Arabidopsis thaliana: one gene and its partner. The protein of the gene in region 2 interacts with the protein of the main gene of each other region in a pairwise test. Each region holds a gene or a part of one and is shown on either strand. Other genes may lie near its edges.

What was found. Proteins that work in one complex are often made in the same cells at the same time.
Region 1: the proteins of AT5G32440 (region 2) and AT3G51180 interact in a two-hybrid assay, tested with the Arabidopsis thaliana proteins (one large-scale study listed by BioGRID).

The regions. Positions count from the first base shown.
Region 1 is NC_003074.8:19,011,736-19,016,886, reverse strand, and holds AT3G51180 (Zinc finger C-x8-C-x5-C-x3-H type family protein), read right to left. Parts: upstream 3,499-5,151; 5' UTR 3,168-3,498; coding exon 3,102-3,167; intron 2,521-3,101; coding exon 2,338-2,520; intron 2,245-2,337; coding exon 2,120-2,244; intron 2,037-2,119; coding exon 845-2,036; 3' UTR 540-844; downstream 1-539. Other genes in the region: AT3G51190 (Ribosomal protein L2 family), read left to right, coding at 1-281.
Region 2 is NC_003076.8:12,075,067-12,079,127, reverse strand, and holds AT5G32440 (Ubiquitin system component Cue protein), read right to left. Parts: upstream 2,236-4,061; 5' UTR 2,115-2,235; coding exon 1,929-2,114; intron 1,657-1,928; coding exon 1,494-1,656; intron 1,383-1,493; coding exon 1,195-1,382; intron 1,095-1,194; coding exon 921-1,094; intron 819-920; coding exon 732-818; 3' UTR 525-731; downstream 1-524.

The DNA.
Region 1 (5,151 bases), on a different chromosome or scaffold from region 2:
GGCAAGTTGCAGGTGGAGGAAGAACAGAGAAGCCACTTCTCAAGGCTGGAAATGCATACCACAAGTACAAAGCGAAGAGGAACTGTTGGCCTGTTGTACGTGGTGTTGCGATGAACCCAGTGGAACATCCCCACGGAGGAGGAAACCACCAGCACATTGGTCACGCCAGTACGGTCAGGCGTGATAAATCTGCTGGTGCTAAGGTTGGTCAAATTGCTGCAAGGAGAACTGGTCGTCGTAGAGGTGCAGCTGCCACATTAGCAGCCAAGGCAGACTACTAGACTTGAGACACACTCTTCTCTGCTTTCTTGATTTTAATTTCTTATTTCTGTTAACACCCCATTGTAGCCTTTTACTTTAGTTATAACCTCTTTTTGTGTTGAAAGCTAATGAGCTTCGTTTCGAATCTGCCCTTTAAAGGTAGAATTTTGAATTCTTTAATTTATGAGATCTTTTGCGGTCATCTTGATGGTATTTTTTTACTACATATTACCTATACTTTGCAGTACATCTCCAGACTCTAGCTATATATTACAACAGTTTTTTTAAGCGATTACAAAACTCAACTCCGTTAATCGTTTGTTTTAAAAGACCGGACATAGTTTACTACAAATTAATTACGCAGATTAGTTTTGAAATCATGATTTAAATTAATATTGTCCGGCTTTCTCGACCTCTTAAACTGGTGTCATTAAACTGGTGCTCTAAACAAATAACTTTGTTAAATGAATTAAAATTGGTGCGCACAAATTGATCAAAATTGAAAGTTGTATCACCTCAGGTTTTGTTCCTTAACCAGTGATAGACAAGACTATAAAAGTGAACTCTATTTTTTTTTTTATGTTCAAAAACCATTTCTCTCATACCTTCCAAACTTCATTCTCTTAGCCCTCGGAGCCGCGGCCTCAAAGTTGGGCCTATACCGGTCATGAACATAGGTGCAACTGTCTCCCATATTACATCCATTCGCAGTGCCAAAGTAGATACATTGTTGATGAATCTTATTATTATTATCAATGCGTCCGTTGAATATTCCAGTTTGTGAATGGTATTGGTTAGTTTCATGATTATCTGTGCCATGTTCCCTTATAAGGTTTTTGAAATAGTCTAGACCCTTCATAGGTTGTACTACTGGTTTAGCGCTACCAATTGCATCTGCCCGGCTAAAGTTCATTGGATAAGAATTGAAACCGGTTTGAGGACCCCTTCCAAGTCCAATTGATGATTGAACATAGTTCATTTCAGATGTACGGAATGCGGAATAGGGTTGGTGTTGGGGTTGAGGATTTACTATTACCTTTGGTTCTGAGAAAACATTTGGAGGTCGGTGGAAGTTAAGGTTCATTGGCAGAGAACTCGATGGGAACCGAGCAGGCTGAGGTTGTTCTTTAGCTATACCGACATGGAAATGAACGGGCATTGGTATACTAGATGGTTTTCCAGTTATAGGCTTAGGTGGGGATATGCTTCCATTTACAGGCTTGGGAGGTGATACTCGCCTCTCAGGGTTAGTAAAAGACCGAGAAACTGCAACACTGTGTTCTTGAGGTATTATCACTGGCTGCGGCTTTCTAGCCATGGGTGAGGCGGTGACAGCACTGACAGGCTGCGGAACAGGTCTAGTAGCAGAGTTGATGTTAGTGACAATGGGCTGATTCTTAGTTTCAGAGGATTTACCTGATGTGTCAGTGATAAGATTCTTGATTAATTTTGGGTCGCTGAGGAACTTGATAAGTAGCTCAGTATCGACCAAACTCCCTTGTTCCTTGGTTTTCATCAGTGCAGTCAGAGCTGCAGAAGCAGCCAGACTCAAGTCTGGTGCAAGACCAGTAAGACCAGAAACCTGTTCTTGGGTTGAACATAGAGGTTTGGTCTCCAACTGACCCTGCTTGTTTGCGGTAACACCTGATTCAACCTTACTGTTGGATGACTCCTCTGAAGAAGATTCACTCTCGTCTTCAATAGGAGTGAGACGAATGGCAGGAGTTTTGCTGTCATCAAAGCATTCAGCTTCCACAGCCGGTGAAACAGAGGGTCTACATGAAAACAGAATGCAATCAGCAGGCTAACTAACACACCAACACAATGTTGAATAACCTAAGAGAAGAAGGTAAAATACCGAGAAGGGATGGCAGAGCGATGAGGATAGATAGCTTCCAGCACTTTTGAAATCCTCAAGTTTTCATTTTGCCATTCTGAGCTCCCGCCACCACATCCAACCAGCCAAGTATCATTGACAGAGAACTGCATTGTCCAAGACACATAATATTAATATCAGATATGATAAAAAAAGATTCAAAAGGGATTCACCAATTCTTTACAGTATAAAAAATATACCTTGGGAGGAGGTCGTTTCCATTTGATGCGAGGAATGTTTGAAACATTAGGCTTAACTGCATAGTGATTTCCTTCAAAACCAGGTGGAAGATCTGGCCCTCGAGGTTTCCTAGATGGGTAGCTATGACGTTGAGGCTGAGAGGCTACATTGGCAGGACTGTCCTCTGTTCGAAAAACCTTAACCTGTTCAAAATCCGCATAGTTAGAAGCTAACCAAAGCTGACTTTTTCGTGTATCAAAACTATGTAACTAAACCAATAAGGCTTCCCAAGTCTATCTGTAAAAAGATTGTAAATTTGTAGTTGCAGAGTATTGGATTGATGCATTCAAACTTCAAAACTTGATCATATCTTGTTTCAATCTAAATCTAACTGTATGTTGATTCAAATTTCCAAATCCAAAACCTTGAATATATCTTTGTTGATTCAAATCAATTTCATGTAAACTATATGAGCTAAAACGTTATCTTCAAAGATAGAAAAATCAAAGCCTTCTACATACCAAAAGAGCCGTCAAAGTAACAACAAACAAGACTTGGTTTCTTCACCATTTTTCGATTGGATATTGAAATTAAATAATTCAGCGATTCAAGATCGTATCAATCAATTCGTTGGGTTTAAAGGAAAACTTCAAAATCGAAATTTTAGGATCCAGAAATTAGGTTAATTGTTATAATCGAGAGTTTAGATTTGGTGAGATGGATCAATCAATTTGGGATTAGAAAGTGGATAAGAAAACATGGAACATATAAGGATTAATTATACCTGACAAAGCTTAGGACCTGGTGGCCATGAAACTCTGGGTTTCTTCGATCTCTTCATATTATTCATATAAATCTCAAAGAAACAAACCAGTGAAAACAAAATTCGATTCTTTTTGATTCAACCGGTGATCGTTTTTTTATCAGATTCAGATCAAATATGAATTTTTTCTGCTAGATCTACAGATTTCTTAACGAAGCAAATTGAGATTCGAAGGATTTTGATTAGGGAATTGGTCAATACGATGGATGAGTCAGAGATCGGAGAGAGAAAACGGAAACAAGAAAGAGACGTCGGCGGAAGGATTTGGGTGATGATGATGATTGATTGATTGATGAGAAAACCCTAACAACTGTCTCTTCTATTTTCTTTTTCTTTTTAGTACACGGTGGATTTTGTTAGGACGTTCCTTTAGAGACTGTATTTATATATAACGGAAGCAGTTATTTATTTATTTAATTTCGTGTAATTCTCAGGTCTCAGCTAACTCCAAATTATAATTGGATTCCTAATTTATATTTATTTATTAACTCAATTGGATTCCTACTTATTTTAAAAAATTAAATAAGATTTTTTCCTTATTTTTGGCTATTTATTTTTTATTAAAATGGAAAACCAAATTGGCATTACAGATAAAACAAAGTCCTACATTTACAACTTAAAATTGAAATTAAGCCCACTTACTCTAAATCCAACTTTTTAAAAAAAATAAGAGTTAAAAATGCCACTTGTGAAAAAGTATCCACACGTGAGAAGGATGAGTATTGACACGATCTTTATCAGCCATATCTAACGATATGGTTCAGCTTTGTCGCTGGACTTTAGATCCATCATCGCTAGCTCCTTCTATAGGTTTACCGCCGCCGGCCTGCCAAATTTTGCTGTACGTTCTTATAATTCTGGCCATGACTCCAACGAATCTTTAGATCTCAATTCAAAAATTCTTCAAAAAAAGCTCCACCTCAAAACCTTAAAAGGTCCACTTCATACCAGTCTTCATACCAGTCGGTAGTAAGTTACAAGGATATTAGTCCTTTAGAAGAGCCAAGCCGACAGTAAATCATACATAATCTAAACAAGATTTAATTTTAAGTCATGTAGAAAGAGAAAACACAAAAATCCAGCACTTAGACAAAACTAAGTTTGGAATATTTTAATCCGACCAAAACACCGGCTACGCCTGAGTTGAAAGCCGACATTAAATTGGAAAAACAACAACTAGTCCGACTAGAAAATTAGAAGACGAAAAGATAAAATTGACATTTTTCTTTTTGAAAGGTTCAAGAAAGTTAGGAGACGAAAATTGGCACTTTGATTTAGGCTTCGCATTGGAAGAGTTGACGAATATTCCGGTTGGTAGGAGACGGAGATATCATGACGATGTGACGATAATGGTAATCACTCTAAGTAACGATCAACGCAAAGGCTTCTACGACTACGATCGTGTGATTTTGATTATGATGGCGACAAATGTTGGATTGGTAAAACTGTAATGAGTCATACTGATTTCTTTTAGACTTTGGAACTGATCACTATTTTGCTGGGTATTATTTCAGTGCACAGTACATATATTATATCATTGTAGTGGTCGTAGAGCCTAGATTTCATCCGTTTGTCAAAGCTTTAGTCACATGTTCTGTTATTTTTTTGGGCATTTTGGGTGTTTATCCGGTTTGGTTTGTTGTTTTGGATTGTAAGTTGTAACATTGACTGAACCGGTTTTGTCAATTGGTTTAAACTACTAGTGAAATAAAATAAATGTTGATTTGAGAGCTTTAATAAATAAAGCATCTTATTATTATATTCAGAACTTTTACATTAAAGGAAGGGGGATAAAATTGGGAGCATAAACACAGCTATAACAACAGAAAACCATGGTGTCAATTACAAACTTCTTGAGCAAATCTCCCCTGACAATATAGATGCAAGCCGCATAAGTGTTCTCGTCAGCACAATAAATGATGAAGGTGGTCTTGTCATAGATGAAGTAACTAATGCCATAACACTCGATAAATAAGTTTGGCAAGTTATTTGGTAGCAACGTCAACAAGTG
Region 2 (4,061 bases):
ACCAATTGGTTCGATTAAATTTTCAAACCGAGCACATTTAAAACATATGCCTATCGGTTCACCTAGAAAAACCGACCATGAACCAAAGTAACTAAACACCGGTTCGGTTCGATTTCAAAGATTTCAAGTTGGGTAAATATTGCAGGCATGGTTTGAACTGTGGGGATTTCTAAATCACCCTCTCCGTGGATAGAATAACAGACCAATATGTTCGATTAAATTTTCAAACCGAGCTCATCTAAATCATATGCCGATCGGTACACCTAGTCTAGAATAACCGACCATGAACCAAAATAATTCAATACCAATTCGGTTCGATATCAAAGTTTTGTTTCAAGAACTGTTGTGATTGTTTTCTAACAATACTCAAGTCTTTATGGGTCTGTTCGTAAGTTCTTGTGACCGCCAGACTCCAACAGAGCAAAGTGGCTATGGCCGAGACAAAAACAGTCAGCCGATGATGAACGACCGGCGTCAACATCTCTCATTGACGCTAGTATTACCAGGCTACTAGCAACATAACAAACTCTATTCGCTGTTTGTTAACTGATTGAAATAAGTCTTATATCTGTGGAATCCATCATTGAACTCGAAAGAGAATATATACAACAATAACAACAACAACAACAACAAAAGAACACAGTTTTGATTCCCCGAATATATATAAATAGTCACAAACCAACAGAGAAAAATACACTGGAAACAAAATGATACGAGGGCCTCACAAAGTATTAGAAGACGTCTGGATGGTACCGCCCCGGGATGGAACTGTTTTGCTGAGCTTGTTTCAGATGAAGCGTCAGAGCATAGTTATTCACCTGCAAGGAGCAATCAAAACAAAACTTAGAAGTTAGATCTAATCATATCGACAAAAAGACAACAAAATTGTATAAGATAAGGTGAAGACATTTAATACAGACCTCTAAAGTTCTCAACTGTTCCTGGTATTGAGTGACTAGCTGCCTCAGATGCTGCAATTCCTGACTTTGGTCTTCCGATTCTCTTTGCCGCTTCTGCTGTGTCACTACCGCTCGTTTCAGTAAACTGTTTTCCTGTACAATAGCTTCTAATTGCTGCTTCAGCATCATGTTTTCCTGAAAAATCGGATGTTCATAGATAGATATACATCTCTGGCAACAAAACTTCTTATCAACAAAGAGTGAAGAAAGAAACAAAGAAAGATAGATGAGACACCTGTTGGAGATTTTGCATTGCGTCAGTACCAGTACGTGCATTAATTGACTTCTCCAAAGCTTCCAATGCTCTTGCAGCACGGGCTTTGGCGTCTTTCATGTCAGAAGCATTCATCATTTCCCTAACAAAAAGCTCAACCCACTCTGTACCATCCAAGTTCAAGACATTTGGTTCCTCCTTGGCTGATCCTACAAATACCAAAACCCGTTTCATAATTAAAACTTTGTAGAGCGAGTCTACGACTTATGCAGAATACACTGAAACTAGTAAACTGTTTAGAGATCAGTAGGACACAAAACTACCTTGCTGTTGAGGTTCAACATTTGGTTCCTGGATTACAACAGGAGATTGGTTTGTAGCAGAATCAGAATTCTTATTGGCAGATTCTAAACGAAGCTGATTCAAACATCTAATGGCTGAATCAAGGTCATCTCCACATTCCTCGATTGCCCTCTCAAGAATCTACCACACACAAATGTCAACAACTTTATAACACCAATAAACCATCACAGACATCCATAGACATAAAGAAGCCTAATCAGAAGAAACATATGCTCCTCTAATAGGTCCAATAAATCACCAAAAACATCTATCGATATGCTCATTACTGATAAACACAATTGCATAATTTCATTTCAATCTAATCGAAAAACCTAATCAAAGAACAATCAATCAATAAAATGATCCAGAATCGAAACAGGAAAAAAAAGATGGAGATCGGAAAAATGAAGGACCTGCTTATCCATATCGGGGAAAATCGCGGCGAGGTGATCGAGAAGAAGTGAGGAAGAAGGAGGAATCGGAGGAGAAAAACGAGACGAAGAAGATGAAGAAAAGCAACGGAGTTTCTTGGAGACGGGAGGAGAAGCGGCGGCTAAGTCCTCGAACAGAGATCTCTTCCCGCAAACAATCGCAGACATGTTATCTGCTTCCCCCCTTCTTCTTCTTCCTTGAGATCTCTCAAACAAGTCTTTTATCGGATCTTAAAGATGTTCGCAACAAAATGGATCCAACATGTTTAGGAACTCTGACCCTTGAAATGGGTAATTGGTTTAAGAAGAAATTTATAGATTGTATTTTTTTCAATTCGGTAAAACTGGAGATTGATAGAGAAGTTTTTTAATTTAAAGATTTTGAAAAATGGTTAAAAAAAAGGAAAAAATTAAAAATGTCATCTAAATCATTAGTTTTTATTGGTTTAAAGCATAAGTTTTGATTTAGTGATTTCAATCCTCAATTTTATGTTGACTTTCGATTTGATCACGAATTCGTGTTGATTAAGTCAGTTAAGGCATATCGTTAAAAAGTCTCTTAATCGAAAACCCTAGATTCCCAAAATCGAAATTCTTACATTATTGTCGCTGATGCGGCTTGAATATCAAAATTCTAGAGTTGTCGGAATTAATAGCGACACCATCCTTACATTATTTTTAAGCAGCTACTGTCACCGGTTTAAAAACCATTAACGAGATTTGCGGAGAAGACTCTAGAAAAGAAAAAAATTAACCAAAAAAATATTGTTTTTAATTGAGAATTTGGGAATTTTACAATCATCCCGTTTTAATTACTCATAATTATAATATTTAGTTGTTTTCTAAAAGAGTCAAAGGGAGAGTCACACGACTCTAAAAAGAACACATCTCTAATAATTAATAAAATCAATTCAAAATAAAACAAATCATTATACTTAAATTAAAATAAATAAGTTGTTTGGTCTACGATATTTTTTTGGGTGAGTTACTCAAACAACACATAAAAGTCTGTTTATTACTGTCATGTGTTGTACGAATTGTTGATCATTAGATGATGGGTAATTTGTTTTTTTTTTGTTCAAGAAAAGATATATGTTTAAAAATGGTCAACAAAAAAAGCGTATTGTAGCAAAAGGATAGTAGAAAAATGATATTTTTGCAAATCTTCCTTAAAAGATGATGTCATGTCAGTGAGAGAAACTGTATTTCGCCCGCGAAAAAGCACACCATAACATAAGTCTATCGCTGTAGTGACGGTAGGGTTAATGAAACATGGTAAAGTTAATAAATTAATTGAGTTACGTGGTAGAGATATATTCAGTAGAGTTGTGTGATTGAGTTATTTATAGTGGTGGCAGAGTTAAGTTGATAAACAAGTTACATGACATATTAGGATTCTCCGTTTACTCACATAGCATTAGAGAATATATACTGTAACGTGGTGGCAAAGTTAAAAGATAGAGAAATGTAATTGACTTATAAAGTCGAGTAATTTGTAGTGGCAGCAGAATTACTCAGAAAAACATAGTTAATTGCCAGAAAAATGGAAATAAGTCTGTCATAGTGTGGTAGAGTTAATCTGTTGGTATAGTTAATTATAAACTACCAGAAATATCCACATTGATAGCAGACGAGGATAATCATTTTTCGTAACTGTTATGAAAGATAGTTTTTTAATTTGATTACTATATAATAGCACTAAAACAACGTTAAGATAGAAAATCATTAAGCGGGAAGCTAAAATCCCTTATTCCGCCAATAATTAGAAGAAATATTTTACTTAAGAGCAATCTATCTCAGATCTGAAAATTTAATCATCATAATTTATTCATAAAACCGAATAAGACAGAAAAAACCCAAATCTAAAGCTACGTCTCTCTCAATCCACCTTCAACCCCTCAATTTCTTCCCGTGTCCATCTCTAAATCTAAATTTTCACTCTACTTTCTTCTTCAAGTCATTTGCTCTTCCTTTGTTTTGTATTTTGCTCACCCTCTTGCCCAACCATTTTGGATTTTGAATCTCTAGAAGTAGAAGGCAAGTTGGATTCGGTCGGAGAAGGTTTGATGGTTTTGCCTCTCTTTCTCCTTTGAATCTGCGATTTAGATTAGGTTG